4 linked regions of the Tamandua tetradactyla genome follow. The protein of the gene in region 3 purifies or fractionates together with the protein of the main gene of each other region. This does not show direct contact. Links are inferred from orthologs where the notes say so. Each region holds a gene or a part of one and is shown on either strand. Other genes may lie near its edges. The genes, in order: PABPN1, RALY, DHX9 and ELAVL1.

Region 1 (7,438 bases), on a different chromosome or scaffold from region 3:
AGAGATAAGTAAATGCTAAAGACTCCAAGGTTCTGTAACAGTACTGCCCAATAGAAATATAATGCAAGCCATATATGCAGTTTTACATTTTCTAGTAGCCACATTTAAAAAAAACACAAAAATCTGATAAAACTAATTTTAATAATATATTTAACAATAAAAATATGATCATCTCAGTGCATCATTAATATTAAACAATTATTAATGAGCTACTTTGCATTCTTTTTTTCATACTAAGTCTTTGAAATCTAGTGTGTATTTTAGGCTTTGGTACACTTCAATTTAGGCTAGCCATATTTTAAGTGCTCGATATTGGCCATCATTTTAAACAATGTGGTTCTATATCATAGAGAATTACTGTAGCCTATACAATTTGTAAAGCAGGATTTAAAAACAAGGATGAAATACCAAGGAGTCAAATATTTATGTTGTCTAGTGAGAAAACTGTTCCCTTCTGGATAGAACTCAATATACTCTGACCTGCTTTTTTTTTTTTTTTTTTTTTCCATATGGGCAAGCACCAGGCATCGAACCCAGGTCTCCAGTTTGGCAGATGAGAACTCTGCCACTGAGCCACTGTGGCCCACCCATGACCCAGTTTTTTATTGTGAAATATACTATACATAGAGAAAAAAAGGAATAATTTTCAAAGTACTTTTTAACAAGTAATTACAGAACAGATTACAAAGTTTGGTATGGATTACCATTCCACATTTTTGGGTTTTTCCTTCTAGCTGCTCCAAAATACTGCAAGCTAAAAGAAATACCATTATAATGATTCAGCAGTCATTCTCATTTGTTAAATACTGTCTTCCTGTTATAACTCCTCCTTCCACTTGATCCTCTTCCCAATCTATAGGGGTCTTTGGGCTATGCCCATTCTAACTTTTTCATGTTGAAAAGGGGTGTCAACACTATAGAATAAGGGGATGGAATTAGTTGGTATTCTTGGAGAGGCTGGCCCCTCTGGGTTTCAGGACTTATCTGGCCTAGGAACCCTCTGGAGGTTACAGGTTTCAGGAATGTAAACTTAGTACATGAAACTTTTGTAGAGTCTCAGATAGAGCCCTAGGTGTTCTTTAGAGTTGCAGGAATGATGTTTGAGCGGGTATGGCAAGCCATTGTAATTAGCAATACTTAGCTAAAGCTTGCATAAGAGTAGCCTCCAGAATAGCCACTGACTCTATCTGAGCTCTCTTAGCCACTGATACCTTATTTCGTTACATTTATTTCTTTCCCCCTTTTAGTCCAGAAGGCATTGTTCATCCCTCCACGCCAGGGCCAGGGTCAACTCTGGGAATCATGTCCCCCGTTTTCTGAACCAATTTTACAGTTTAAATTCTCAACTCCACAGAATACGTTAATGGAAGATTAATACATTACCACCACCACCACCCCACCCCTTTTCTAAGAAAGCAATGGAGTTTCAGGTTTTCCAAAACTTCATAGCCATCTATGTATAAGTTATTACTTAAGGAGAACTATACTCATAATGGGTAAATCTCACACCCCTGTTATATATAACTTAAAAAAAAATTCATCCCCAGATGAAAACTTATCTCTGATGTTTTCTATTTATTAACAGGCAGGATGTTACATAAATCCTTCATTACTGAGGATTATTTATTCAATTAGAATTTATTAGTAATGGGAATACAAATATAATTAAGATGGTGTTCCTGCCTTCTAAACAGTCTGATAGGGAAGAATCTTTCTTTACAAGTCACCACTCAAATTTTTAAATGTGAATATTTGTTTGTAAAAGTCATCATGCTTACTTGGAAGTTGGAGTGACTTTTATACTTTAAATAAAAATAATGACTGTGGAAAGATCATCGAACACAGAAAACTGTAAAGAAAATCAGTCATAATCCTACTACCCAGAGAAAACCACTATTAACATTTTGGCATATTTCTTTCCTGTCTTTTATCTGCGCTTCTATTTTATGATCATACTGTACATACATTTTGTATATGGCAATTCTGCTTACCAATATATTGCAAGAATTTTTCCTTGTCATTAAAAACGTTTTGAAGGCATATCTAATATAAAATTATATTGAATGTGTACAGTAGTTTTCATGTAAGTCCACACTTGGACGTTTACATTTTTTCACTGTGATGAACATTTTCACTCACAAATGTTACTTCTTTAGAACAGATTATAAGAATTACTGGGTTAAGAGTCTCAACACTTAAAAAACTGGGTACATATTGCTAATGTACCTTTTTATTTCTATGGAGTTTTTCAGAAAATCATACTTTATATACAATTTTACATTTTACCACTTTGGCCTAACAAAAATATTTTTTGTATGTTATCACACACTGTGTGTAAATCTTTTAATAGGTAGATAATAATCTTTGATTAGATATAATCATGGTTTACTTAAACGTTGTCTGTTACTGGAATTTAGTCGTTTTCCAATTTTCAGTATTACATATAATGTGATTTTTGCATATTAAAGTAAACCATAGAGTAGTTATGATTTGAGCTTAGAAAGTTGGCCTTGAATTCCTTGCTCACTCCTAAATAGCTTCATGATTGGACAAGATACTTTTCTTTAAAGCTTCTTCTCTAAAAAAAAAAAAGAGTATAGTTTTGGAAGCATCTACTTGACAGGGTTGTTTTAAAATTCAATGAGATAATATATTAAGAAGCCTAATGTGATGCCTGTTAACAAAATGAAATGCTGAACAAAAACAGGATTCAAAAGCATTTAAAAAAAAAAAAAAACCACCACACTTCCTATGGTTGGCTTGATTACTTAAGTCAGGCACCAATAAACGCCCAGGTCTTGATTAGATTTAAGTCAGGCACCAATAAGCGCCCAGGTCTTGATTAGATTAAGTTCAATATAAAAGACCTTTCTTTCAGCAAAATTGCAGTGGTTTAGAGCCTGTCTTCGGTGCTCAACTTCAGTTCTCTTAGATCGCCGATGGATGACGAAGTAATTTTAAGCACTTTAAGCAACTGTGATTATGCCTCAAGTCCTCCAGATCCTGAGGTAAGGATTCGCGAGAAATAGCGGGGGTGAACGGAAGGGTGGGGTGTACTGAGAAGCTTTTAGATTTCGTTCGCTAATAGGGCTATCCTCCTCTCCCAGTCCTCCCTACCGACCACCACCCCGCACATCTCATGGGGCTTGTTTAATGTTTTGGGGGGTTCATGTGAATCCAACTCTCAAACGGTGGCTTGGTCCTACTATCAAAACATCTCTTTCAAACTTAGCACTGAGCACCTTACTCACTGCTGAAATGTAGCCACCCTGCCTTCAGGGCTGGTGTCCTGGTGTCGTTGGTCACTGGGGGCGCAGCAGTAAGGTGATACTTTGCCTGGAGAACTTCTGGAGTCTGAAGGAGGGCTTGGGGTCAGGAAAGCGCTGAAGATTCAGGGTCGCACCCAGACTCCAAATAATGCATCCTTCGGTCGATAAATATTTATTGGACTTCATATTGTGCTATTTATGGTAATAGGTGGTGGACAAACGAATATAAATAGGATCTAGCCCCTCATCTCCAGGAGCTCACAACATAAAAAACGCAAAGGGACCTAACACGTAGTGGAGGTAGGCCCCCTTGCCGTGGGAGAAGAGAAGCAGGGGAAGGCGTCCTAGTAGAGGTGATGCTAGGATTTGCTGTGGGTTTGGAGACAAGACTGTACAGAGGAACACACCTGGGTGCAGGTACACCCACGGAACAAAGAGTGAAATAACCGGGTTCTGAGGGTCTCCAAGTTCGCGGTAAGGAGTAGAGACTACCTGGCCAGCTCGGTCTGAAAGTGGTACGGGTTATAGGTATGACACCGGAAGCCGAAAGACCCGTTTGCGGCTGACACAAACCGTCCAGGCAAGAGAAGAAACAAGATAAAACCAGGGTCGTGAGTTTAGAAAGGAGGCCTAACCAGGAGGCAGAACTCTCAGGTCTTGTGACAGGTGAATGGTAATGCCAATAATCTGAATGGGAAAAGTCAGCTCTCTCCTGGACTGTTCCATTCAGAAACCGCCACTTTCAGCAATCTCCCAACTACTGGTACTTCCTGGATAGGACACTAATTTCCAGAAGCCGCCGCTGTGTTTCCGGCCTCTGCCTTCCAACAGCTCGTTTGGCAACCAATAGAATAAAGATGGCGTCTCCCTAAGAGACTAGGTCATGTGACATCGCTTTTCCCTGGCTTAAGGCTGGCAGTCCGTTTGGGGTCAAGGTTCACCTAGTAGATAGCTGGTGTCAGCCCTTCGAATTTCACAAGCCAATGACATCTGAAACCAGGACACCGCGGGGGGCGATGGGCAGATTGGTTCGTTCCACCTCTCCTAGCTAGGGGCCAATCACAGAGCGCCGTACACTCCGCGGGCCCTCCGGTGGGCGGGGGAGAAGCAGGAAGGTCGTCACAGCGTAGTGGTATTGTTACCTAAGGACTTGAGAGGAGGTGGGATGTATGTTGATTGACAGACGGATTTCTCCTACCGGAATTAGAGAATTTGGCGCAGTGCTCCGCCTTAGAGGTGGGGTCTTATTTGATTGCCAAGTAATATTCCCCAATGGACTCCTAGCTCGTGGTGACGGGCAGGCCGCTTAACTAATGAATTCTCGGCGTGGCCGGCGCAGCTCTCCAATCGCCGGGCGGCGGGCCCCAGTCTGAGCGGCGATGGCGGCGGCGGCGGCGGCGGCAGCAGCAGCGGTGGCTGCGGGCGGTCGGGGCTCCGGGCCGGGGCGGCGGCGCCATCTTGTGCCCGGGGCCGGTGGGGAGGCCGGGGAGGGGGCCCCGGGGGGCGCAGGGGACTACGGGAACGGCCTGGAGTCGGAGGAACTGGAGCCTGGGGAGCTGCTGCTGGAGCCCGAGCCAGAGCCCGAGCCCGAAGAGGAGCCGCCCCGGCCCCGCGCCCCCCCGGGAGCTCCGGGCCCTGGGCCTGGCTCGGGAGCCCCCGGCAGCCAGGAGGAGGAGGAGGAGCCGGGACTGGTCGAGGGTGACCCGGGGGACGGCGCCATTGAGGACCCGGTGAGGGAAGGAGGGCGAGAGACCGAACCGGCGACCGGCCGGCCGGGTCATGGGAGGCCCAGAGCTCGGGCGAGTGGGAGGCAGGCGGGGGATGGGGGTGGGGGTGGGCGGGGAATAATGTAGCTGGGGCCGGACCGGGGAAGGCTCCTTCACCACCGGAGGGGCCCGTCGGGGTTGATTTCGGGCGTCATGGGTGCTTAGTGTTGTTCTAGAGAAGGTAGCTTGCTTATCTTTTCATCACGACCCCGCGTGGGAAGAGGGAAATGGCGAGCAGGACTGGGGCTGAGCGCTTACCGAGAAAAGGGTTTAGCATCCTGCATTGGTTCCTCTTAAGCTGTTCATACCCCTCCCTACTTATTGTAGGAGCTGGAAGCGATCAAAGCTCGTGTCAGAGAGATGGAGGAAGAAGCTGAGAAGCTGAAGGAGCTGCAGAACGAGGTAGAGAAGCAGATGAATATGAGTCCACCTCCAGGCAATGGTGAGTAACTGGTGGCTGCACGCGGAGCCCGCGTCCTCGGGTTGAAAAGATGTGTGGAGTACGTATGGCATTAGATGCTGCGGGTCTTGGAGCTCGTTTCTGAGCAGTTGATGGGCAGAGGCCGCGGTTATTGCTAATTTATGTGTTCCTCTGACCTTTGTGAAACAGATCCTATGTTTGGTTGATGGTAGTCTTGTGCTTTTCTTTGTCTTTGTTATAAATATGTTGCCCTTTGTTCTTAGTCTATCTTTATTCTTTGTGAAGGTTGCCAGCTGGCATTTGACCTTCAAGTCAAGGGGTTCTTCCTTCACTTGGGGACCCTTTAGTTAGTAGACGTTCTAAACGATTTCTGCTTAGCTGCAGGGGTCTTCCCCTTTGTAATCTAGAAATGTAGACTCTCATCTTAATTTCTTTAACTCCTTTTCAATAGGGACTTGATGTATAGGGGTGGTGGTGGTGGGGAATTCTTGTTCTCTCTGATTTTTAATAATGTATTTATTATTAGTCACATTTTTAGTGGCCACCCACTATGTTTTTGGCCCTGTTCTGGGTAATGGGTACAGCAGGAAACAGAACAAACTCAAATCTTTGCCTTCACTGAGCTTATATTCTAATAGTGATAGAGGGTCAGAGGATAATAGATTGGTAGAGTAGAAAAGAAGTGTGTTTTCTAATTGTCTTTTTTCAAAGCTGGCCCAGTGATCATGTCCATTGAAGAGAAGATGGAGGCTGATGCTCGTTCCATTTATGTTGGCAATGTATGTAGTAGGGCCCTGATTGTAGTTGGGGGAAGCTCTAATTTGTGGGAGTTACTTAATGGAAGTCTTTTGAAAAGAACATCTCCAGGATAGGAGTGGGAGGAAGTAAAAATTAATGATCAGCAAGGCCTCTGGGGTTGAGAGAAAAGGGGATTAGTTCCTTAGAGAAACAGATTTGATGTGCCTCGCTGTAAATGTATGGCCCCAACCAGAAGGTGAGGCAGTATGCTGAGATGGGAGTTGGAGTTTGCCCAGTTCCTGTGAAACATTGTCTCTCTCCTGTCCCCCTCAGGTGGACTATGGTGCGACAGCAGAAGAGCTGGAAGCACACTTTCATGGCTGTGGTTCAGTCAACCGTGTTACTATACTTTGTGACAAATTCAGTGGCCATCCCAAAGGGTAAGTAGGGAAGTAAATTGAGATCATTTTAATCATAGTTTAAAAATAAATATTGAACAATAAGTCACTTGCTGTTAAAACCTAGGGGTCTTTGTCCTAAATGTAAACACATTGAGTCCAAATAAAGTACATCAGCAAGTTGAATTTGACGTACAAGTTGCTGTTTGCAGCTTCAGAGAGCTAAAGTGACAATAACCTTTTCAGGTTTGCGTATATAGAGTTCTCAGACAAAGAGTCAGTGAGGACCTCCCTGGCCTTAGATGAGTCCCTTTTTAGAGGAAGACAAATCAAGGTAAGCACCATGCATAATGCTGTTCAGGTTGCGGAAACTTGGCACGTTGTCTGACCTGGGCTTTTTGTGGTACATCCCACAACGACAGGTGATCCCCAAACGAACCAACAGACCAGGCATCAGCACAACAGACCGGGGTTTCCCCAGAGCCCGCTACCGTGCCCGGACCACCAACTACAACAGTTCCCGTTCTCGGTTCTACAGTGGTTTCAACAGCAGGCCCCGGGGTCGTGTCTACAGGTCAGGATAGATGGGCTGCTCCTCTCTCCCCGCCTCCCATGAGCCCTGTATGCTTCCGTCTCTCATGATAGGAGGAGCTTCCCTCCCTTCCCCTCCCGTTGGTCTCCAGGGCCTTGGTCTCCTGCCTATGCAGAGTGAGGAAGGTAGTTGAAGGGAAGGCCAGTCTCGTCTTTTCTGGAGCAGGAATTGTGGTATTAAGGGCTGGATCTCTCCACTCTGTTGCGAGAGATGCTTTCTCCCCCTAGACTTTTCTGGTTTTTTTGAAAGTGGGT
Region 2 (8,005 bases), on a different chromosome or scaffold from region 3:
CGCCTCTGCTTGGTTTGTTGTTGCTTCCCTTCTTTTGGCCTCAGCTTTCCCATCCATAAAATGGGGATGACAATGTTCCTATTCTTGCAGGTGCAGGAAGCACTTGAGAACTCTGTGGAGCTAAGGAAATGTTACTGAATGTGATTGCTATGTTGACTTTCTATTGCTGTGTAACAAAGCACTCTAAAACTTAGTGGTATAAAACAACCATTTTACTTGCTCATGAGCCCTCCATCTGGGCTGGACTCAGGTGGGCAGTTTTTCTCCTCATTTGGCTGGTGGTCACTCTTGTGCCTGCATTAAGGTACCAGACTGGCTGAGAGCTGGGTTTAGCAGGGAAACTGCTGGGATGGCTGGACTTCTGATTCTCTCCATGTAGTTTTAGAGAATCCTTCCTATTGGTCTCTCCAGCATGGTAGCCAAACTTCTTATCTGAAAGCTCAGGGGTCCAAAGAGTAAGCATTACAAGAGGACTAGCCCCGGGGTACAAGCATTTATCAAGCCTCTGCTTGTATCCTGACTGCTAATGTCCCACTGGCCAAAGTAGTTGCATGGCCAAACCCAGAGTCAATGTGGAAGGGGGCTACATGAAATCACAAAATCTGGGAAGCATGGTTCCTTGGGGGTCACCCAAATTAACAGTCTACTACAATTATTTTCATGGTATCTGACCAATGGCTAGGGTAGGGAGAGTGGGCCTTCACAGCAGGGTGAAATTTGATAGTTCCTTAGTCTCCCTACTTAGATTTGTCTCTCCTAATGAACTGGCCCAAAATTGGAAGTTTTCCCTTACTTTACAGCATTGGTCTGGTAAGACCAGGCTTTCAGAGAACAAATTAAGTTTCAACCCATGGTGTCAATCCAAATGATTGGTATGGCTTTCTACGTGTGGGAAGGGTTCTACCGCGGGTAGAGGGTTGGAATGCCCTGATTGGCCAGCCTGCATCAGGTCCCATCACCAGGGCCTAGGGGAAAGTGGCCATTTCCTTCTGCAGTAATAATAAAATAATAAATACATTAAATGAGTGTTTACTATGTGATAGGCACTCTTCTAAACATCTTATGTGTATCAACTCATATTATCCATCCAACAGCTCTGTTAGGTAGATATTATTTTCCACATTTCTTAAATGAGAGGTAGAGAGGTTAAGGAATTTTCCCAGATTCACAAAAGTAGTAAATGGCAGAACCAGGATTCAAACCCAGGATGTCCAAATTTAGTATCTTCACTCTTTATAAAGTTTGGACCAAGAATGGGAACTGGGGGTTCATTGGAAATCCAGGCCCTAATTCCAAGAAAGGGAAATTATACAGTGCAGGGAAAAACAGTATCTAGAACTTACAATCTACTTCAGGTGGGATTCTCTTCATCTCAGTGTCTCCTGTTTGGATCAAAAGCTGAGAACTTCTAGGACCACCTGGTTAAGAAATCCTGAGGTACAGCAAATAAGAACATCTGAGAACTCAAAGGTACTAACATGTGGCTGAGAATTTTTAAAAGGATATGGAGGTGTCATACAGATGACACATATGACTAAGAGTTGGAGTTGTGCAGCTCTGAAAGTCAGTATTCTTACATAAAGCAACTGTAAAGAAGCCAAAAAAGAGATCAGACTTCAATTAGAGATAAAACAAAGCTGATCTGGCTGGGACTAAGATAAATCAGACACAGGGTAAAGGATGATGGTGTTTGTGTTTTACAATTTCATCTACTGCATGAGACTAAAGGATGAGAGGTTTATTTTGTCCAAAACTTAAATTTTCCATAGCACACAATCTAACTTAACCTATCTGGCCAGTTCAGTTAAGCAGCCTAAACACATGGAGTCTAGCATTGGGAATGAGGTCTTGCAATTCTGTATAGCTTAATATAATACCCAGATACATTCCAGAATACGTTGGGCAGATAATTAAAAAGTAATGGCAAAATCCCTCGAGGGACTGAAGAAAAATTACGGAACTATTAAACTTTCCCACTTGGGAAATCTGATACTGTCTCAAACATTAGGAACTCCCAAGTTAATAAGCCAGGCCCTTGATCTTGAGGCTTGCTCTTATGAAACTTATTTCTGTAATGGAGAAGCTAAGCCTACCTATAATTATGCCTAAGGGTTACTTCCAGAGAAACTCTTTAGTTGCTCAGATGTGGCCTCCTCTCTCTCTTAAGTCCAATTCTGCAAGGAAAATCTTTACCTTCCCCCCTACGTGGGACATGATGTCCAGGAGTGTACGTCTCCTTGACAATGTGGGACATGACTCTCAGGGATGAGCCTGGCCCTGGTACCACGGCACTGATAATGGCCCCTGACCAAAAGGGGGAAAATGTAACAAAATAAGGTATCAGTGGCTCAGACAGTTCAAATAGAGTCAAGAGCCTTTTCTGAAGGTTACTCTTATGCAAGCTTCAGCTAGATATTGCTAATTCCCATGGTATGCCAAGCCCCAACCAACAGTATTCCTATAACTCCTAAAATATACCCAGGGCTCTATCTGAGATTTATAAAAAGTTTCCCTCACTAAGTTTATTTTTCAGAAACCTACAACCTCCTGATGGGTCCCTAGGCCAGATAATCCCCCAAACTCAGAGTTACCAGTATCTTCACGAGCATCAACCAGTTGCATCCCCATACACCATAATGTTGAAACCCTTCTTCAACATGAAGTTAGATGGTTCTTGCCCAAATATCCCTACAGATTGGGAGAAGGATAAAAGGAGGAGGAGTTTTAACGGAGAAAATAGGATTTAACAAATGAAAATGACTACCGAATCATTATATTGATATTTCTTCTTAGTCTCCAGTGTCTTAGAGCAGCTAGAAGGAAATACCTGAAGCTGTGGGACTGTAACCCATACCATACTTTGAAATTCATACTGTAACTACTTGTTAAAATGTACTTTGAAATCTATTTTTTTGTGTGTGTTATATTTCACAATAAAAAAGTTTTAAAAAAAGAATATGGAGGAGTGGATTTGGATAAAGAAATGGAGAACACGAAGGGGAAATGTGATGGATGACATCTGCAGAAATGCATCTCGGAGACTAAAGCCTTTCTGAATATTGGGAGGCATGGGTGGGGTGGGAGGCCTCATAATCATTTCCTGGGTACATAATCCTTTTTGAGTAAGATGCTCTAGAGATGCTTTTTCTCATTAGAACAAATGCCACATACACAAAGCCTTATTCATTTTATAATTTCTTTGAATGTGCTTGAGCATGTGAGCCCTTAATGTCAATTTCAATTAATGCAATGCATATGATCTTGGTGGTGCAGCTAATGGATTGCAAAGAGGGGCAGAGGGAAGGTCACTTGGACTGGTACTCTCTCTGTTAGGAGGTTTGAAGGCTGAGGTGAGAGAGGCATTGGGAGGGAAGGTCTGAATTTGCTCTCCCTACTTAATGAAGCCCATACTTTGAAGATGCCACCCTGTCTTTTGTTTGATAAGAAAAAACGGATTTGGAGACCCCTGGCAAGACAGACAGGAGAGACAAGGGCCCAGGGCTGAGCTGGTGAGGACCAAGAGAGACATAATATATTCTTTCATTGACTTAGGAGAACCGTCCTCATAACCTTGAACCTCTCCCCCACCCCCCTCTCAGCCACCAATTGTGGGTTATAGTTTCACAATTTCATGGAGCAGATTCTTTCAACCTTGACACTTGATCATTCCAAAGCACCCTCTGCTCAAAACCGTTCAATGATTCCCACTGTCTGTCAAGCTTAGCAAAGAAATCAGTTCTTTCCAGAATCTAGTTCCAGCCTATACAGAAGTGTAGATCTAACTGCTGATCGGGCAGAGCTACAGCTCTTGATTCAAGTTCTGCTCAGAGTAGAGAATCTCGTTTTTCAGGTAGATTCTGGGGGAAACGATATGATAAATACAATCATGAAATCGCAGGCCAGATTGGATGAGACATGGAGAATTTTTCTAGTCAGTTCCCAGTTTTCAAGGAGGTCCATAACTGAAGACTGAAAGGCACCAGTCCTTTTGTGCTCTCAGAAAACTCCTCTGGCTGTTCTGTGGAGGCTGGGGCTTGGGGATCAGAGACTCTGGCGAATGGACTAGTGATCCAAGTGAAAAATTCAACAGCGGAGATGTTTAGGAGGGAGAACCACCACTCAGATCAAGTTAGAAAACATTCCCTGCAGCCAGAAGTATAAAGAGACTTACTTGAATTTTACCTTTATATATTTTTTAAGTCCTCCCCCAGAGTTCCACCGTCACCGCAGCCTCTTCCCCTAGTTCCAGCTTAGACATGAAGCCCTAGTGCCTGGTTCCTTGAAAATTAAAAGACCTTGTGCTTCTTCTCTACTTCCTCTTTTCCGGATCCCTAGAGCATTGCCTCCAGGCGACGAGTTTGAGCCCCATCCCCACGCCCGGCTAACGCCAAGCACCACCCACTCAAACCTTCTTTAGGTCACGCCTCCTTCCGGCTCCTCCCGAGAGTCTCCACCTTTCGGGCTCCTCCTCCTGGCTCTGCTTCCGGGCCCGCCTCCTCCGGTCCCGCTTCAATCGTTCCTTCTTTCGTGGCTTCTCCTCAGCCCCTCCTTCTTCCAGCTTCTCTTGGTCTTCCTCCACCGTGACTCCTCCTCTGGGTATGGCCGCCCTCTAGGCCCGAGCACAGCCTCTCCTTTCCAGCTCTGAGGGAGCTCCAGGCTCTCCGAGGCCTCCACTACTTTCTTTACCTCTCTTGCGCTCCTCTTGTTAGGGATTCACAACCCTGCTAGCCTTGCCCCACGTTCGGCTCCCTACTAGTACAAGCGAATCCCTCTTCCCGCCCTTACGCGGGTCCCCAGGCTCCCACCTCAGTCCCGCCTCCCTATCAGGCCCCGCCCCTGCCCCGCCCTTTGCCTCTCCCCGCGGAAGCTCTGGACCTTTCCAAAGCCGAGCCGAGGGGTGAAGAGAGCCCAGGCGTTGGGGGCGGGGCCGGTTGTGCCTGGGCGAGGTTCCAATCTCGTTGCACTACTGTCGTAGCATCTACCCGGGAGACAGGAGTGGAGGGGAGGGAAGCCCAGGTTAGGACTAGGGCGGAGGGCGGGGCCAAGCTGAGGGGCCCTACCCCTGCGCGCCTCAGTGGTGTAGGCCGAGGGAAGGACTCGCGGCTGCGGAGCTCGCGCCGCTGTCAGTATAGCTGGACGCGCGAACGGCGCGGGCTCTGGGCAGATCAAGCCGCGAGAAGCTGTGGGGGCGGTAGCGGCGGCGACGACGACGACGCCGCAGACGAGGGCTCCCGCGCTTGTGTTCAGGCTCCTCACGCCGCGGTCGGGGCCGCCTCCCTCTCTCCCTCCCTTCATTCCGCCCCCAAGTGCGGCGGCACCGCCTCCTTCCTTGCCGAGCTTCTCTCTCCAGATCTCTTGGCGCGGGTGAGTGGGAGCCGCGGGCGTCTCCTCAAGAGAGTGTGTGAGTGTGTGAGTGTGTGAGTGTGTGTTCCTGTGCTTCTTTTCGGTCGCTCACCTCTTCAAGCGGGCCGTTACCTATTTTTAGAAACTCTTTTTCTGGTCATTCCGGAGCCCGGAGAGCCGGAGTAACTCCAGATCCCCTCCTTCCGCACATTCCCTGTACCCGAGCCCGCCGCCCCGTGTCGCCCGCCCCGGCAGTTCCGCGGCCCGGGCCTGGGCCAGGAGTTGGCCGGGTGGGCCCGCGCCGGCTCGGAAGTTGGAGTCTTTTGTGTTTGCGCCCCGCCCCGCTCGGCGAGGGGAGGAGGGAGTGGAGCGGAGGCCGCGCCGAGGAGGCCTCGGCGGGCAGGGCCAGGACTCTGGCCCCGGGCTTTTTTCCGCCTCCACACTGCCCTGCTGTCCTCCTAGGCTGGGTCTGTGGATCCCTGAGACGGGTACAACTGGCCCTGACTCGACCCTCGGGGGCCTGAGCGCCCCCGATCCTACTTCTCCCGGTCCTGAGCTCATTGGTACACCTGGGGCTTGGAGGGGAACAACCACAGGCCTTCGAGCTGGGGCGTTATTTCGCACTTCACGCAGTGCTCTTCGCGGCCCAGCCTGAGTTCGCGCCTCGGTGAAATGGGGGAAAAATGAAATTCGTTTCACAGGGTGTTTGCGTGCTCGATGAGGGAACTAATAAATGAGAACTGTTTAATACCAACAGGTAAATTTAATGAGACTTGATCATGTGCTAGGCCCCTTGCCAGGTATTTCATAAGGCGTTTTTTCATTTAGTGCTCACAACGGCCTTCTGGAGTTATTCCCATTGCACAGAAGCAGAAATAAAGGCACGGAGAGACTAGTTTGCTCCAAAACACCCTGTAGCCACAGAAGTGTAAGGCAGTGATGCTAATACCTGTTATTTATTTCCTAATGTGAGCATGTATAATCCCTAGTGCAAAAGGAGTTATTCCTGGATCAACCATGAGTTAGGGGCATTACTAGGTCCTTCCTGACTTTTGGGCCATTTTCCACATGAAATACCATTCTAGGCTACCAAAACTCCGAGGGAAAGGAGGATAGAATGACTTTCTGCTTACCTTTCCTCTAGAAGTTGGTGGATGCAGGGAACTCCAGGTCTCAAGCGTAACTGAAATTCCCTGGGACTTTGGCTCAAGGAAGGTGTAAATCCAAGTGAAGTCTGTCCATAATTTTGTTCATATTATGTTCCTCCTCCATTATCTCCCCTCTTCATTCCAAACCTTGCATTTCTCTGGTGTTTAGATTTACAGATTTCTGTGGGTTAGGGGTGACAAATCATTTACTCAGGTCTGCTTTCAAGTAGGGTTTTATTTCCCTTATTTTCAGATAAGGCCCAGAGAGCTTAAAGTGAACTAAAATTAGCTTTGGGAAGTGTTTCAGTTTTCCAATATGTTTGATTTCCAGTATGTATGAGGAGTCTGAAAATCAGGCAGGGGAGTTCCTGAGCTGAATATTGAGGGGTCTCTTAGGAAGGGAGGTCTTACCCTGATATTTGATGTCTGTCTTAATCCCTTGGAATCTGGTAGGTGTACTGTGCTTCCCCCTCTGCATCCCAAGAATCATGGTAGGGAGGAATTGTTCCCCTTTCTGTATTAATAGTAAGTTCTAAATTAAAACTGCCTTAGTGATAGAACAAGAACTAGAATCTCCAGTCTTCTGCCTCTCAGTTCAGTAATTTTTATTTCTGCCTCATGAAAGGGCATTTAACCATTTATTCAGCCCTGGAAAGACCAAGAATCTTGAGTGAATGGAAATTCCAACGAAGTTGTGTAGTCCCAGCCACTCTCTATGCCTCAGGTTTAGCAGTAAAAGGCCAGATTTTGTGCACAGGTATACCATTTTTTATAAGTTGCCACTTTTGTTTTACAGTACTTTATAGTTTACAGCACTCTTTTGTAACCATCATCTGATTTCATTTCTAATTCATTTCTGTGAGGGAGTTTACTGAGCTAGGTTTGTATTGCCATTTTATTACGTGGAAATTGAAATACAGCAAGGTTAGGGCACTTGCCTTAGGTCATGCAGTTAAACAAGAGATGGGGCAGGACATCTCTCAGGCTGAGGATTTGATTTGGCCTCATCAAATGAGCCACTCATTGTGACTCTAAGCTTCGATTTCCTTATCTGTAAACTCTCACAGGATTGTTGAGGGTTTATGAGAAAATGGCTGTGAAAGTAGTTTGTAGTGTTAGTAATAATAACTAACACTTATTCAGCATTTGTCATATAGCAGGTACTGTATGTCTGTGTCTCTTTTAATCCTCAGAGCAAACCTCTGCATTAGATACTGTTATTATCCCTGTTTTACAGAAGAAAGAACAGGCTTCTGGATGTTACAGGACTTGCTCAGGGTCATATAATTTAGTAAGTGACAGAGCCAGGATTCAATTTGCAGACAATATAACTTGTGCTCTTAGTGTCTTCCTTAACCTACTGCATCTGCAGCAGGGCATGGCTTACAGTCTTAGAGCAAGAACCCATGCCTTGTGGTACCTTTGGTTAAGTTCTCCCCTCTGGATTGAAGCTCATCACTGAAGCCTTTTTTCTTTTTTCAAAGATGACTGCTGACCCCTTCTCTATTTTCGGA
Region 3 (7,787 bases):
TATATCTATGGTCAACTAAGGGGCGTGCCTTCCACAATGAGAGATGTTTAATCCAATCAGTTGAAGGCTTTTAAGGGAGAGGTGATGACTTCAGCAGTCAGAAGAGAGAACTTTTGTCTCTACTTCAGCCAACCTGCCTCTCCTGGAGAATTCCTGGAAAACCTTCATTGGAGTTGCCAGTTTGCAGCCTGCCCTATGGAATTTGGATTCATGTATCTCCACAGTTGCATGAGACACTTCTATAAAATTGCATACTATTACAGATGTCTTTTGTTGGTTCTGTTTCCCTAGAGAACCTGACTAATAGAGGCGGGGACCAGCCTTACTTGTCTGAGTCCTCACACTGAGTCCATAGGGTCTCAGAGGTTTTTGGAATGAATGAATGAATGAATGAATGGGGCCTACACAGTTTCCTACAAGAGACTTGGAATATAATCGATTAATTCCATAAAAAGATCATTTTATATGGAATAATTTTCCTGGACTTACCAAAAGGAAACAGTTGGTATTGCACTTCTGTATGTAACATATTTTTCCTGCCCATTGTGCCTCCATCTCCTCTTTCTTTCTAATAGAACCTCCATTTCTCTATTTCCCATACCTCAGGAAAAGTGACCCTATGTCCTGATCAGAGGTAAATCCCAAATTATTTAAGCCAGCCATGGAAATCCCATTCCCTATAAGTGACTGGTTTACAGGTGGGCATGTGATATAAATCTGGCCACCTAGATGCATAGATCTCTTCTTCCTCTGGCCGTTGTTGAATCCAGAGGTAGATTGCTACAATGCTTTTGTAGTCATGAGGGAGCCAATCTCAGGACACAGCCAACATACTGAGAATGGCAGAAAAAACTTGTGGACCTTCATGTAACTGCTGAATTAACCAACCCTGAAGCTACCCTACGTCAAGACTGTGTTATTATGTGACAATAAGTTTTCCTGGCTGTTTTAGCCTTTTCTAGCTGGACTTTTAATTACTTGCAGCCAGAAGCAGACTAAACATTTTGCTGATCTTCCTTGACACTATTTTCAACTCTCTAACCTGCACCTCTTTCAGATCGAGCATCCCTTACTGTTCACAGATTCCTAAAATAGATCATCCTGTTGCCACTACCACACCTGACTTTATGTAACCCTAAATAAAAAGTGGTTTTGCCTTATGAGTTTTGATGCTTTGTTGCTTATTGCTTTAAGTTTCATGACTAATAAATCTTCATCATAGATTTTTACCCTTTATCATTGTGCTGGTTTGAATTTGTGGACCCCAGAAAAGGCATGTTCTTTAATCCTCATTCAGTATTGCTGGGTGGAAGTTTTAAAATTATCCATGGAGATATGACGCATCAAATTGTGAGTCACATCTAACTTTTGATTAGATGATTTCCTTGGAGATGTGTCTCCACCCATTCAAGGTGGGGTTGCTTATTGGAGCCGTTTAAGAGAGAACCATTTTGGAAAGAGCTACAGAGCCCTTGCAGTCAGGCCTTTGGAGATGAAGAAGGAAAACGCTCCCCCCGGGGAGCTTCATGAAACAAGAAGCTGGGAGAGAAAGCTAGCAGACGCTGCTAGGTTCGCCATGTGCCTTTCCAGTTGAGAAACCCTGAACGTCATTGGCGTTCTTGAACCAAGATATCTTTTACTGGATGCCCTAGATTGGACATTTCTATAGCCTTGCTTTAGTTGGGACATTTTTGTGGCCTTTGAACTGTGGACTTGCAATTTAATAAATTCCTACTTTTAAAAGCCGTTCTGTTTCTAGTATATGGCAGCAGCTAGCAAACTAGAACAATCATCATAAAGTGTCCTTCCCTTCTCTTTAAATGCTTTTGTAGTTGAATTCAACATTATTTGATACTGTCATTTTCACCCCTTCTTCATGTTTGTTCGCATTTACCTGTAATGTCTTTATCCACCCATTTTTCTTCTTTAAGATCAGAGATTATGATGTCGCCAAGAAAATAGGATTTAGTGTAAATGAACTCATACCAGAGTAGGGGTAACCTGCACTTACTAGTCCCCAGGTATGTCCCCCAGGTGTGTAGCTTTTGGTATTAGTCTCTGCACAAATTGGATTTGGCTGGATTGGGGTAAAGAGTAGAATTTCCTCTTACATGCCTTAATACTTAGGACCTACATCCACCATTCAAGGACTTGCAGTAGAAATCTAGTGATTTTTAAGACAATGTTTTTAAAAAACTATCAGACTTTCTTTATTCCTGAACCAAATCTTCATCATCAAGGCTATATACCTTCATCTATGGGGAAAAAAAACAGAGTTATTCCTAGATAGTTTTGAATAAGTTCATTCCCACCTTTTAAGGTTTTTAATTAAATATTTACATTACATTTTATATGTGTAAGGTATAAAGATGAATTTATATGGTTTGTGATTTTTTTTCTCATGTCTGGCCATTTGATTATTTTGATGTGCTAATTCAGCCAGTTTCTTCCTTTTGCCTAGGATTTGATTGTGCACTGACTGAGTGGTAAGGCTCTTTTCAAATGCTTGGTCCGGCTTATACTGAACATTTAAAGCAGCCTGTGTTTAACAGTTCAGATTTTCTTAGATCTTCTGCACCTGTCTTTCGCTCTGGGCATGTGCTGCAACTCTTACAATTGTCCAATTAAGTGTGACTGTTTCAGCTCTAGGAAAAGATTTATTTTTCTTTGTTCCTCCTTCAGGAGTCCTGAACTATTCTGTTTGTTCTTTTTGCAAATTTTCCTTCCCAGAAACTGTGATTTGATCAACTGCTTTTCCACTCCAGGACTGCCTTTGCATTACAGTTTTTGGTCCTCTCTCCTCTCTGCCTTAGAGCAGTTTAGTCTTTCCCTTTTTCCCATTCGGCTCTTCTGCCTCCAGTAACTTGCACATTAGAGTATCCCACCCAGGGAGCCAGATGGGGTTGGTGTTCAGAAATGCCCATTTTTCATTTAGGTGCACCAGCAATTAGAGACCAAGTTGGGAGTGTGCACCCTTTGCCAACCCTTCCATCGTGGGTCACTTTGTTTCCTGTTTCCTGGGGGCTGATTTTTCTGAGCACACTTGCTGACTACCGGATTCCCCACTTTGGTCCCTGTGTCTAAATGTGTACAGAGATCTAAGTTACTGCTGTGGGTGGCTCTATGGTCAATGACCATGGCAGGAGGTGCCCAGGCCAGAGTGCTTCCACTGAGTGACTCTTAAACCACATAAGACCCAGTGAGGTAGAAGATCCAGATAGGCAGGTCCGTGCCACAGATTTTCTCTTTTCCTTTTGGTGCTTTTTTTTTTTTCTTCGATTCAGCATTTGTAGAATCTTTTCCCAGATTTTCGTCTTCCAGAGTTCCAGGTGAGTGGTATGTGCCCTTTTATTAAATGTCTCTAAGAGGAAATTTCCTAGGGATAGCTTATGCTGCCATTATGATGATGTCACTTCATTAAGTTACCTGGCCCAGGAGTCAGAGAAACTGAAGGAGAAGCCATGGCAAGGTGCAGCAGTTGCAGGCCCAGCTGTTGCCTCATACCTATTAGGTGAGTCTACTGCTCAATGTCTGTGAGCTACAAGATGGTTGCAGCTTCCTTTCCGCCTCCAGATCTCCCTTATTTGGAGATTTGAACCTTATTAGGGTACAAATGTACAATTTTAAAGCCATGAAAATGTATCCACATTAAGGCATCAGGAGGAAGATACCTTCTCAGAGGAAAGGCTGCTGGCATTGGGGTTCCTCTGTCACATGGGAAGGCACATAGCAATGTCTGCTGTTCCTTCTCTCCAAAATTTCTCTGAACTTCTGTGGGCATTTCTCTCAGCTTTCTCCAAAATGTCTCTGCCTTTTATCCTCTCATAAAGGACTCCAGCAAGAGGATTAAGACCCACCTTGAATGGGCTAGGTCACATCTCTTCATTGAGGAGAGCAAACACATGATGAAAATAAAAGATGAGTAAATGCTAAATTTTGTTGTTCTCATTATAAGTGCATTAGAGTTTTGAAGAAGGGAGTGATCACCATGACCTAGAAGGAGTAAGAAAAAATGTAATGAAAGAAGCGAAAACTAAGGATGGATAGTTATGATGGGTCCAGAGTATTGATTGGTCTATGTTTTCCGGAACAACTCAGTTTGAAATATCTTGCAGTGTTGCACTAGAGTTAAAAAAATTTAGCAGTAGACTATTGTAATACTTAAGGATACAAATTAACCCAAAGATTCTGAATACAAAAGGATATCCAATTTAAGCAAAAATGGCCTTGCATGTTTTATTCATTCCTTCAACTCGTACTTACTGCGCAAGTGCGATGTGCCCGGCATCATAGTGGGTGTCCTGAGCTAGTGCAGTGTCCCTCCCTTCACTGAGCGTATTTCCTTCTCAGGAGACATTCACGATCAGAGTAACTGAATCACTTAACGATTGACAGCAGCTACTATTTATTGAACACCTATTATGAACCAGGTAGTGTGTTAAGCCCCCTTAATATGCCATCTCATTTAATCATCACAGTAACCTAATGAGGTGAGCACGGAGATTTCCAGTTCTGTCATCTCACCAGAGGTACCTAGGACAGAAGCTACGATATATATTGCTACATCTAAAATATTAACGGCCCCAACTCCTAAAATGTTAAAAAGCGGGTGGCGTGTTACTGGAAGAAGTCCCGCTAGGGCACCTCCGGCGAACTTAGCGGGTCTCCAAGGCGACGGGATGCAAGCGCAGCCAGATTGCAGCAAGCTCGCCCCCGGCCTTCTGGCGCCTTCGCCCACGCTCGCTTTCTGCGCAGGCGTACGCGTACTAACCCCGCCCCGCCCCGCCCCTTTCCTGCGCAGCGGTCGGAGCCATTCCGCCGCCGTTTCCATGCTAGCGTTCTCGCGGTTTTCTGCTTTCGTCGTAGAAGGCCGGAGCCACGGTCAGTCCTGAGAGGGCTGTGCTCTTGAGCACCCTAAAGCGGTATTCGGTAAGGAAAAGGAGCCCTTCCCTCATTGCGGGGCAACAGTGTCGCGGGGCGGCGGGGAGGGACCCGACGTCGGTGCAGCCTTGCTTTGTTACAAAGCGCGGGTGCCCATGGCGGGTGGGGGAAGGGGCGAGCCACCCCGCCAAGTTCCCGGATTGGGGGTTGCGTCTGCCGCTGGCCGCAGCGCGCTGGCCCTGTCCAGGGCCGCGGTTATGGCGCCTAGGCCTTCTCCCAGCAATTCCTACCCCTGTCTCCGAGGTACAACCCGCTTCTCCTTCGATCAGCTCACGTTGGGGGCGCTGTCGCCGCGGAGCGAAAGGGGAGTGAGTTGTCGGGTCGTTAGCCCGCGGCGACGCACTCTCCTAGGCCCTTCATTCATTCCCTCACGACACAAATATTCGGCGCCCTCCTGCAGAGAGTGGGTAGAGCATCACACAGGTTAGACACAGTCCCGCCGCTTCCCTCAGAGAGGTTTGTGAGGGGTAAGCGATTGAAAAATATTATGAGGAATTTAGAAGTGTAAAGGGAGAGAGTTATTTTAGGTCGGGCGGCAAGGGAAGGCGTCTAGGGGAGGGGGTAGACATTTAAGGTATTATCTGAAGGCGGAGATTGCGCCAGCTGTGAAGATGAGGAAAAGCAGAGCTGCAGAGGCAGGAGGGATTAGTTGACGCTTAAAGGCCAGAGACTAAAAAGGAACCTCAAGAAGGGGATGTGACTGGATTGTGGCAAGAAGGATTTAAAAGAATGAATTTTAGGTGGCAAGAGTGGAAGCAGTACTCCAGATGTGCAGTGCTGGTGGGAGAGATGGACATAAGCAGATATATTGCAGACATATTTGGGAAGCAGAATTGTAGTGGTAGAGGGAAGTAAATCTGGAGTCAGACCTCCTTGGTGGAATTCTGGCTCCTCCGATCACTAGCTCTGTCTTCTTCAACTGTGAGAAGGGGATAATAATGGTTATCTAAAGGCTCTAAAGAGTAAATAAAATAGCTCATGTAGATGATCCACTAAGGAAACTAGCCCATATTAAGGTGCTCTACAATGAATAGTTATGGCAGTTATTCAGGAGGTAGATGACTCCTAAATTAGGTTAGTTTGGTAGTTGGATAAACTTATGATCTTGGAGCTTGAAGGGAAAGGACTGTGCTTTCAATATATAGTTGATGCTGAATATTGTGGAATTAGATGAGACAACTTAAGGAGAAAGGAATTTGATAGTGTAGTTCGTATTTCATGTTACTCAGGGCTTGTTTTTTGAGTTAATTATTCAGGAATGGAATTTACAGGTAGACCTCTTCAGCTTTCCACAGCTTTTCTGTGATAGAGTGCTCCTTCACCAAAACAGCTGAGCAGGGTTAGCCCATGGCTGCACAGTGACCATAACAGGATTATACTAGTGTCCGGCTTAAATGCATTAAACGTAGATGCTAACAAAGTGCACTAAGAGTGATCCTAAACAGGTGTAACCTGAGAAAGGAGGTTTCTCTTGGCTTCAGACTAAATTCATAGCATATTTTCTCTGGTCTAAATTTGGTTTCAGGTAAATTGCTTATAATTACGACTCAGACGTTAGATTTGTAGGCTCCATTTATTTTGGTATCTATAAGCTGGAATAAAGGGGGGACGCTAACAAATAAATGTTGCACTTCAAGAAACTTGGTATCTTCAAGTTTTACAAGTAGCAAGGCCTAAAGGAGAGAACTGGTTCAACTCCCATACCTTCAGACAAGAGACTTTTTTTTTTTTCATAGAGCGATGAGACACCACCAGAGGATTTTTAGCAGTGTAGTGGTAATAGCAGACCTTCAAGCAAGTGGCAAGGATAAAACCAAGTCTTCTCCCTTGTAATGGTCGTTCTTCCTTACATTATTACTTCCATTGTGTTAAGAACAGGAAAAAAGATACCTGTAAAGTAGGAAATAGGACTCTCTCAATAGGCTTTTCTACTGTATTTAAATTTTTTTTTAATATTTAATTTGGTACAGGTGTCTTGGAAGAGAGGCGGTTTATACAGGAGCACTTGTAAAGTCATGTATTCTTTAGGGGAGAGGTCAAAGTGACAAGGCCATTTTAGGGCTAATTGGACATTTAGGGATACTTTAGAAACATGTAAATATTTGAGCTATATAGGTTCTTGTTTTCAGTTCAAGTACTGAATACTTACTGCATTTGGACTTGTTTTTGTTTGCTAAACTGCCAAAATGCAATATACTAGAAATGGACTGGCTTTTTTTTTTTTTACTTAATATGTACAATTTAAGTTTTACACACACTTTATGTTCAGCTTTTCTCCCTAGAAAGGCAGGGAAGGCATCAGGCAATCTCAGTATATGATCTCCAGTGCAATCAATAGTTTAAGCATAAAAACTAACACAGAATCTTTCTTTTTAAATTAGCCCAAGCTTTGCTGGCCCATCACAAGGATACATTCCAATAATTTTGGAAGACATAGAGGTCTTAGCAGCATTAATCAGGCAATCTCTTCCAAGTTTATCTGTATTAATAATTAGGTTTTCACTGATATACCGCACTGCTTCCCTGTTTGAAGTGTGGGGGAGAAAAACACTTATAAATTTACTATTCAAATTCTTCTGGTTTTATCGAGTTTAGTACATAGTACTAAAATGTCACAGGCACTGGTTTTCTGTTCAGCCATTTCATATAGAAGAAGGACACACAGAAAAATCCTCCCTCTTCAGATCATGGCAACTTTCATCTATCCCATAAGCATAGCCACTAAAATCTATTAAGAGAAAAAGTGGTAGTCGAATGGGAATGGACTGGCTTTTAACAGTATTTATTAGTTTATAAGTTTACAGGTCTGAGGCTTTGAAAATGTCCAAATCAGAGTATCAACAGGA
Region 4 (7,408 bases), on a different chromosome or scaffold from region 3:
CACTCCTTGAATACTTTATACTGCCATATATATTTCCTAAAAACAAGGATATTCACTTATACAATTATCAAGTTCAAGGAACCTAACATTGATAGAAAGCTTTCAGTCTATATTCCAATTTTCTTATATGTTCTAATAATGTCCTTTTGGACCTTTTTACCTCCATATTGTGCTTAACTGTCATTTTCTCTTTGGTCTCTCTCTCTTCCTATCTCTTTTTTAAATGTGGTAACATATATACATCATAAAATTTCCCACCTCAATCACTCCCAAGCTATTCAATTCCCAATGCTGTGCTACCATCACTACCTTCCAATAGGAAAACTTCTCTATCTACCCAAGCAGAAACCCTGCACTCATTATATTTCATGCAATTTTCACAGGTCACAAAATATTATTCTTGTTTTGATTTTTTTCAACCATTAAAAGACGGTAAAAACAACACTCAGCTAGTGGGCTGTACAAAAATAGGTGGTGGGGGGCAGGCCTCGGTGGCTCAGTGGCAGAGTTCTCGTCTGCCATGCTGGAGACCCGAGTTTGATTCCTGGAGCCTGCCCATACAAAAAACAAACAAACAAAAAAAGGCAGTGGGCTAAATTGGTTTATAGTTTGCCAACTCTAGGACTTCGGGATAAAATCCCAACGGCTCTGCCTACCCCCTCAGGTCTCTTTGCAACAACATCCGGACATTGGTCCAATTTCATCTGGCCATCCTTTTCCTTCACCACCTGTATCCCAGCACCTCCCACAACTCACTTTTCAAGAGCAGGGACCTAGGCCGAAGCATCTTTGTGTCTCCTGACCTCACAGACCTTCAATAGCTTGTGCTTAAGGAACAGACCAGGACTTAGAGGGAAAGCAAGAACAACATGGAAACATAGTGACTTGAGTGTACTCCTCAGGTACTTAGGGTATTCCTCGAGTACTTCCTACTGTAAGAAGGAAAACTACACTTCTTACAGAAAAAAAAGAAAAAGGAAAAAAGAAAGCAAGAACTTCCTCTCAAATTCAAACCACAGAAAAAAGGATCTCTGTGACTAGGCAGACCTGAGTTCAAATCCTGACTCTGTCACTCTGTGCACTAGATTATGTGTACTCATGCAAGTCACTTCTGGTTTTGCTCTTAGGACTGAGTCTCAACTTACAATGGTCAACGAGGCCCCGTGCAGCCCACCTCTGCCAATCCCATGAGTCCTTCTCCTGTCCGTGTATTCTATGTGTGCCAGCCTCCAGCCTGCCTCAGGGCCTTTGTACTTGCTGTTCTTTCTGCCTGAAGTATTCTGCTTCCTCTTTGCTTGGTAACTCACCCTTCATGACTAAGCTGAAACACCAATGACATGGGAAGCCTTCCTTAGCCATCCTAAAACAAAGTCAAGTCCTCCAGTTATATGCTTTGCTGATGGCCCAAACCTCTGTTAGATTATAATTAGTTGTGCAATTTATTATAATAAGATATAATAAGCACATTATGCCAGATCTTGTTCTAGAGATTCTAAATGGGTTATTTCACCTAACTCTCACAGCACCTTCAGGAAAATTATAATCATCCCCATTTTATAGATGGGGAAATTGAAGCTCAGAAAGACAAAATAATTTGTCCAAAGTTGCACAGTTAATATACGTTGGAGCTCTGCTCTTAAACCAGTCTCTGTAAGCTGACTCAAAGTTCTGTGAGGGTAGATGCCATGTCTGTGTGGTCACTGTTGTATGCCTAGGGCTAGCACCTGCAACTAATGCTAATGTGACATGCCAGTAGCAACAAGTACACCTAGTAATTAGATTTTGGTATCTAAAACCATTTCCAATAAATGGAACCTGGGATCCTTGAAGAAATGGCTGATTCAAGAACCAGGGCAGGAAAGAGACAAGGTGAGCCCAGAACTTCTTGCTGTTCCAGGGAGTAAGAAAATGCTCTAAAACAATAATGCACAAAAACACACCGTTGGGGGTATGGCAGAGCTCCCAATGGCCAAAGCCAGTACAACGTAAGCAACAAAATAAAGTTGTTTTGAGTATTAACCCAAAGCATAAAATAAATATTCACAAGTCCCTAGTGATCTAATTAAATGTTTGACTAAATTAATACAGGGTGGAGAAGAGAGGAATCTCCCATGCAGAAGAATTCCAAACAATTTATATGGATACTCCACCCTGAAGGAGGGGGAGCATACTGCCCCATTCCTTAAATATGGGTTGTGCTCAATGCCTTCCTTCCAAAGACACAATAAGGAAAGGCTGGGGGAAAAGTAACCTCACAGTGGAGAAACTCAACAGAAGCTACCTCAGCCAGGTAGCATCAAGGCCAACATCCACAGTCAAAAATAACACTAACAGCATGTCCTCTTGATAAGATGATGAGAAGGGCATTTTACTTCAGTGTTTTTCCTTCTAAGAACCTGTAATCACGTTCTTATGAGAAACACATCAGACAAATCCCAGGAGAAGGATGTCCTACAGAACACCTGACCAGTGCCCCTCAAAAGAGTCAAGACTGTCAAAAACAAGGAGAGGTTGAGAAACTACCTTGGCCTAAAGGAGACTAAAGAGACGTGGTAACTACATGTTATGCAGAGTCCTTGATGGGATCCCAGGACAGAAAAAGGACATTAGGGAGAAACTAAGGAAATGTGAATAAGTCTGGACCTTAGTTAATGAGAACAGGTCAATATTGGTTCATTAATTGTAACAAACGTATCTAAGTAATCTAAGCTGGTTCTAATAGGGGAAACTAGGTGTGGGGCATATGGGAACTCTACTATCCTCACAGTTTTCTTGGAAAGCTAAAACTGTTCTAAAAAATAAAGTCTATTGCTACTACTACTAAAAAAGTATTGCTATATAACCAAAGGGCTTCATCATTCATCATGGTGACAATGACTTCAAGGATTACCTGGGAGGACGTGCATAAAGCATTTAACACAGTATGCACTCAACACTGAGGGCTTGCTTCTGCCATACTAAACTTAGGCTATCTGCTGCAGGAACTATTCCCCTATGTGGCTATGTATATTTAAATTCATTAAAATAAAATGCAATTAAAAATTCAGTTCCTCAATGGCACTGGACACATGTCAGACACCCAAAAGCCACATGAAGTTACTGGTGACTGAATTAGACAGTGCAAATGTAAAACAGGCCCATTATTCCAGATGGCTCTACAGGACACTGCACTAAACAATGAATAGCATAATTATTTGTCCATTGTCCTCAGCTCCTTCAAGTTCTTCCTCCAGTGCCATCTCCTCAATATGAGGCCTTTCCAAGCACCCTCTTTTAAAATGCAACCCCTGTACTCCCCATCACCCTTCTTCAGTTTGCTTTTCTCCTTACCACTTTTCACCACTGAATGTGGAATCCACTTGATTGGTTTCTTTTCTCCCCCTGGGTCTACACTGGCAACGTGTGCCTCTTGAGTTCTTGAAATGTGGCCAGTTGGACTTGAGAAGTGCTGAGACAGATTTTAAAGACGTGGGGGAACAAAAAAGAATTTTAAAAGGTCTCGTAATTTTTTATATTATTCTACGTTGAAATAATAATGTTTTGGACATCTCGGGTTAAATAAACATTATTAAAATTCATTTCACCTATTTTTCCTTTTAAATTTTTGAACGTAGCTACTAGAACACTTAAATGACACGTGGCTGGCATTTGTAGTTGGCTTATATTTCTATGGGCAGCGCTGATACAGAATGCCAACTACAAGAACATTTAAAATTACGTTCGTGGCTCACATCTGGCTTTTCTGGACAGCGCTCGTCTAGAACGTCAGCCTAATGAGGGCAGGATTTCTTGTCTGATCACTGCCCCTACAGTGACTTGCACACAGTAGGCGCTCAATAAAGTTTTATTGAGTGAATGTTAGACTGAGCCTCTGGGAGCTCACCAGGTCCTGACCAGGTCCAAGGCCCGCCTCCTCACCTCATCAGATAAGGAAACTGAGGCCCGGCGAGGTGACGTCAGCCCCTGTCCAATAGTACGTACCGCGGAAACGTCTGGGCCGGGATTCGAACCCGCGTCCAGTCCCCTGTAGTCTGGAGTGGTGACTCTTCCTACCTGGCAGGGCGGCGGCAGCGGGGCAGACAAGCTCGGGCCACAAGGCAGGGATTCGACAAGGATCCCTTTTCTCTTTCTCTGCCGACCGGGACTTCCGTGGGCCCGGGCCTTAGCTCTCCCCTTCGCGGCCATCGCGGGCCACCGAGTATCACCGCAGGCGGCACCGGCAGGAAGTCCCGCCTCCCCCGCGCGCCTTGAGCACCGCGACAGCTGCACTGGCCAATAGGAAGAGCGCCGTGGCAGGCGCCGGCCAATGGGCGCGCGCGCCTGGGGGGCGTGTCCGGGCCGCGGGCCGGAGCGGGTCGTGCGCGCTGAGGAAGAGCCGCCGCCGCCGCCGCCGTCGCCGCCGCCGCCGCTACCGAGGCCGAGCGGAGCCGTTAGCGCCGAGCCGCCGCCTCCCGCCCGCCCCGGAGCAGCCCCGGGCCCGTCCGCCCGCGTCCAGGTGAGATGGGAGCCTTCGGCGGCGCCCGGCGATGTAGGCCGCGCCAGGCCTGAGCTCTCCTGACCGGGCCGCGGGCGCCCGCGGGCCTGCACCGGCCGAGGGCCAGGCCGCGCCAGGCCGGGAGGGGACGCGCACGGGCCGCGGGCGAGTGGGGTCCGGCGGGTGTGAGCGCCGGCGACAGGCCCAGGGCCGGATTCCTCGGCCGTCGCGAGGGTGGGCGAGGGGGACACGGCGTGGGCGCGCGCCTGGCGGCTGGGGCAAGCGCTCGGCCCCAAGGCCCCGGCGGGCTTGGAAGCCCGGGATCCGGGGGCGGGAGCGTGAAGCCAGAGACCCGGGAGTGGGGTGAGCGTCAACTGCGCCTAGAGGTCACGGCCCGCGAGCTCGCTCCCCCGGGAAATCCTACAGATTCTTTTGTGGACTGCGACCGATCCGGAGTCCTTTTCGAAGTGTGCAAACCCGTTAGTATGTATGGGAGTCCTAGAAAAATATTTATTTTTGGGCGCCATCTCTAACAAAGCTGTTCACGGGGCGTGGGACGTTAAGATTTGTAAAATGTGTGTGTGTTGAAAACACAAACAGCACGCAATTGAACAATGGGGGATGGATGCTTTTCTTTCCTTTTCCGGTGTTTTTTGCTAGGTTTGTTAAAATGGGTTCTGATACCTGCTGGATATATGGCGGGTGGGAGAGAACTTTGCATGTGCTGCCCCTGGAGAGACACAGCCCCTACCTTACTAAAAGTATTCAGGTAGGAGCCCGATGGCCAATGCTCTAGAAGTGGGAACACAAGGAAGATGATGGGACTAGAAAAGGGTTGCCTAACCTCAGAACTACTGACAATTTGGGCGGGATAAGTCTTGGTTGTGGGGGCTGTCCTGTGAATTCTAGGATGTTTAGTAGCCTCCATGGCCTCTTCTCTCCAGATGCCAGCAGCATTTCCTCTTCCTACTCCCCCACCCTACCCTAAGCATGAAGATCAAAAATGTCTCCAGACATTGCCAAAAGTCCTCAGGGGGTGCAAAATCGCCCCCGCCCCCAGAATGAGAACCACTGGACTAGATGAACTTTCACTAAGAGGCCCCCAGTCTCCATTCTTCACTCTGTCTCCCCAGGATCCAAGGCTCCTGAGACCATGGACAAACTCAATTATTGGAGCCTTAGCTTACTTCTCTGTGAAATGGAAAGGCTGAGAGTATTAAGGTGTGGATTTAAGTCAATTATTTGGTAATCTATTGTGCATGGCCTTTGCATGGTGGGCACTTAATAAATGATGTTGTAAATAATCTCCAGTATTTATTGAGAACTTATTTTTGCTTAACATTGCACAGACATCTCCAACCCTTGATTGCTGTTATAATTTCCATTTTACAAACAAAAAAAAAATGAGCAGAGGTGGGACACTTGATAATGGCCAAACTCACACAGTAAAGTGGCCAAGTTGGGACTTTAACTTGGGCCCTCTGACTCAAAAGGCCCCATTCTTAACCACAGGGTTTTACTGCTCTTATCATCTCAGCAGCCCAGGAGACCCAGAGAGACAGTGTTTCAAGGAATTCCATTCAGTTATCATTGAGCACTCCCTGTGTGCTGGATTCTATTATAAAATTCTGCCACCTCAAGGTCCACAAAAAGGCTGAGATATATGAATGTCTCAAAATGTGGAAGGAAAAAATGTTTATGTTGAAGCCCTAGCTTGGGAGGTAGGCAGAATTCCATTTTAGTTGTGTTGATTCTGAGGTCACAGGGCAGCAAGTAGAAAATGAGAGGAGAATTAGGAAAGTGCTCTTTCTGCTGTTCGCTCTATTGTCTCTCACTCAGGCCATGTTTCCTGCTTCCTGTCTCTATCCTCTGTCCACAATCCAGCAAGGATTGTCTTTTTAAAACAAGGATCTGATCATGACACTCCTGATTAAAAGTCCTTGGGTGGGGAAGAAACAGTTGAACTTTTTGAGTGGCTTGCAAGATGAAGTCAAAAGTCCTCAGCTTGGGGCTCCAGGTCTTTCATACTCTAATGCTCTCTTCCTTTCTGACCTCATCTAAACTCTGGCCCTCTCTGTTGCTCCCACTTCCTGAATGCTGTTCTCTTCCACCTGGAGATCTCTTCCTTATGCTGCATAGCCCAGCTCAGAGCTCACTCACGGCTTGAAGCCTTCTCCAACTCCCACCCTTCCTCCACCTCCACCAGAATTAACTGTTCCCTCACTTGTGCCCCCATCCCATTCAATTTTCATTTGAATCCAATTAAATGCTAGTGAGAGAAGTGCAGTTACACTATTTCACCCCTAGATGGCAATAGTGAAGCAGTAAGGCCTTGGGACAGGGGAAGACCCAAGGAAACCAGCCTGTAAAAGGGAAGTGAGTTTTGCTTCCCTCCTCAGCTAACTCCCCCTGATCTGCTGTTGTGTCCCAGGCTTGTCAGTGGAATATACAGGGTGTATGGAGATCATTTCAGTCCGCTCTGGTGAGTGCAGTGATAAATTATGCACTGGCTTCAGGGAAGCACAGAAAAGGGCACTGTTAACCAAGACTTGGTGGGCAGAAGAGATGGCAGAGACCTTCTGGAGGAGGCAAGGTGTGAGGGCTGGGGTGGAGTTAACCAGAATCCTTCCACAATGGGGAAGGGTTTTGATGGATGCAGGAACAGCATGAGGAAAGACACGGAGATGGGAATATCTCAGTTTCTTCAGGGAACCTGGGGTTTGGTGCTTGAGGGGCAGGTAAGAAGGGTGGAAGCCAGTAGAGGCAAGGTGAGTGGGATGAGTCAGGCCCAGTTGTGAAGGGCTTCACATCTGTCTGTTGTATAAAGAGTTCTCCTTAAGGCTGGGCCAGGAATGGCTATTGAATAGTTTTAGTCCACAAAGTGGGGAAGTCACATTTGCACACAGAAGGAAGAGATGGGGAGGGGGTGATAAA

The links.
Region 1: the proteins of DHX9 (region 3) and PABPN1 purify together in Homo sapiens (affinity purification with mass spectrometry; 4 studies listed by BioGRID and IntAct, with this or other methods). This does not show direct contact. The link is inferred for Tamandua tetradactyla from reciprocal best matches to the Homo sapiens genes DHX9 and PABPN1.
Region 2: the proteins of DHX9 (region 3) and RALY purify together in Homo sapiens (affinity purification with mass spectrometry; 3 studies listed by BioGRID and IntAct, with this or other methods). This does not show direct contact. The link is inferred for Tamandua tetradactyla from reciprocal best matches to the Homo sapiens genes DHX9 and RALY.
Region 4: the proteins of DHX9 (region 3) and ELAVL1 purify together in Homo sapiens (affinity purification with mass spectrometry; 3 studies listed by BioGRID and IntAct, with this or other methods). This does not show direct contact. The link is inferred for Tamandua tetradactyla from reciprocal best matches to the Homo sapiens genes DHX9 and ELAVL1.

Annotation. Positions count from the first base shown.
Region 1 is NC_135340.1:31,562,670-31,570,107, reverse strand, and holds the start of PABPN1 (polyadenylate-binding protein 2), read left to right. Parts: upstream 1-4,435; 5' UTR 4,436-4,648; coding exon 4,649-4,999; intron 5,000-5,110; exon of another isoform or gene 5,111-5,216; intron 5,217-5,362; coding exon 5,363-5,477; intron 5,478-6,167; coding exon 6,168-6,235; intron 6,236-6,527; coding exon 6,528-6,634; intron 6,635-6,838; coding exon 6,839-6,926; intron 6,927-7,014; coding exon 7,015-7,166; intron 7,167-7,438.
Region 2 is NC_135327.1:18,996,625-19,004,629, reverse strand, and holds the start of RALY (RNA-binding protein Raly), read left to right. Parts: upstream 1-4,999; 5' UTR 5,000-5,364; intron 5,365-5,702; exon of another isoform or gene 5,703-6,100; intron 6,101-6,476; exon of another isoform or gene 6,477-6,672; intron 6,673-8,005. UniProt on the Homo sapiens protein: RNA-binding protein that acts as a transcriptional cofactor for cholesterol biosynthetic genes in the liver. Binds the lipid-responsive non-coding RNA LeXis and is required for LeXis-mediated effect on cholesterogenesis.
Region 3 is NC_135330.1:37,702,000-37,709,786, forward strand, and holds the start of DHX9 (ATP-dependent RNA helicase A), read left to right. Parts: upstream 1-4,783; 5' UTR 4,784-4,929; intron 4,930-7,564; exon of another isoform or gene 7,565-7,703; intron 7,704-7,787. UniProt on the Homo sapiens protein: Multifunctional ATP-dependent nucleic acid helicase that unwinds DNA and RNA in a 3' to 5' direction and that plays important roles in many processes, such as DNA replication, transcriptional activation, post-transcriptional RNA regulation, mRNA translation and RNA-mediated gene silencing.
Region 4 is NC_135337.1:84,443,744-84,451,151, reverse strand, and holds the start of ELAVL1 (ELAV-like protein 1), read left to right. Parts: upstream 1-4,393; 5' UTR 4,394-4,495; intron 4,496-7,408. UniProt on the Homo sapiens protein: RNA-binding protein that binds to the 3'-UTR region of mRNAs and increases their stability.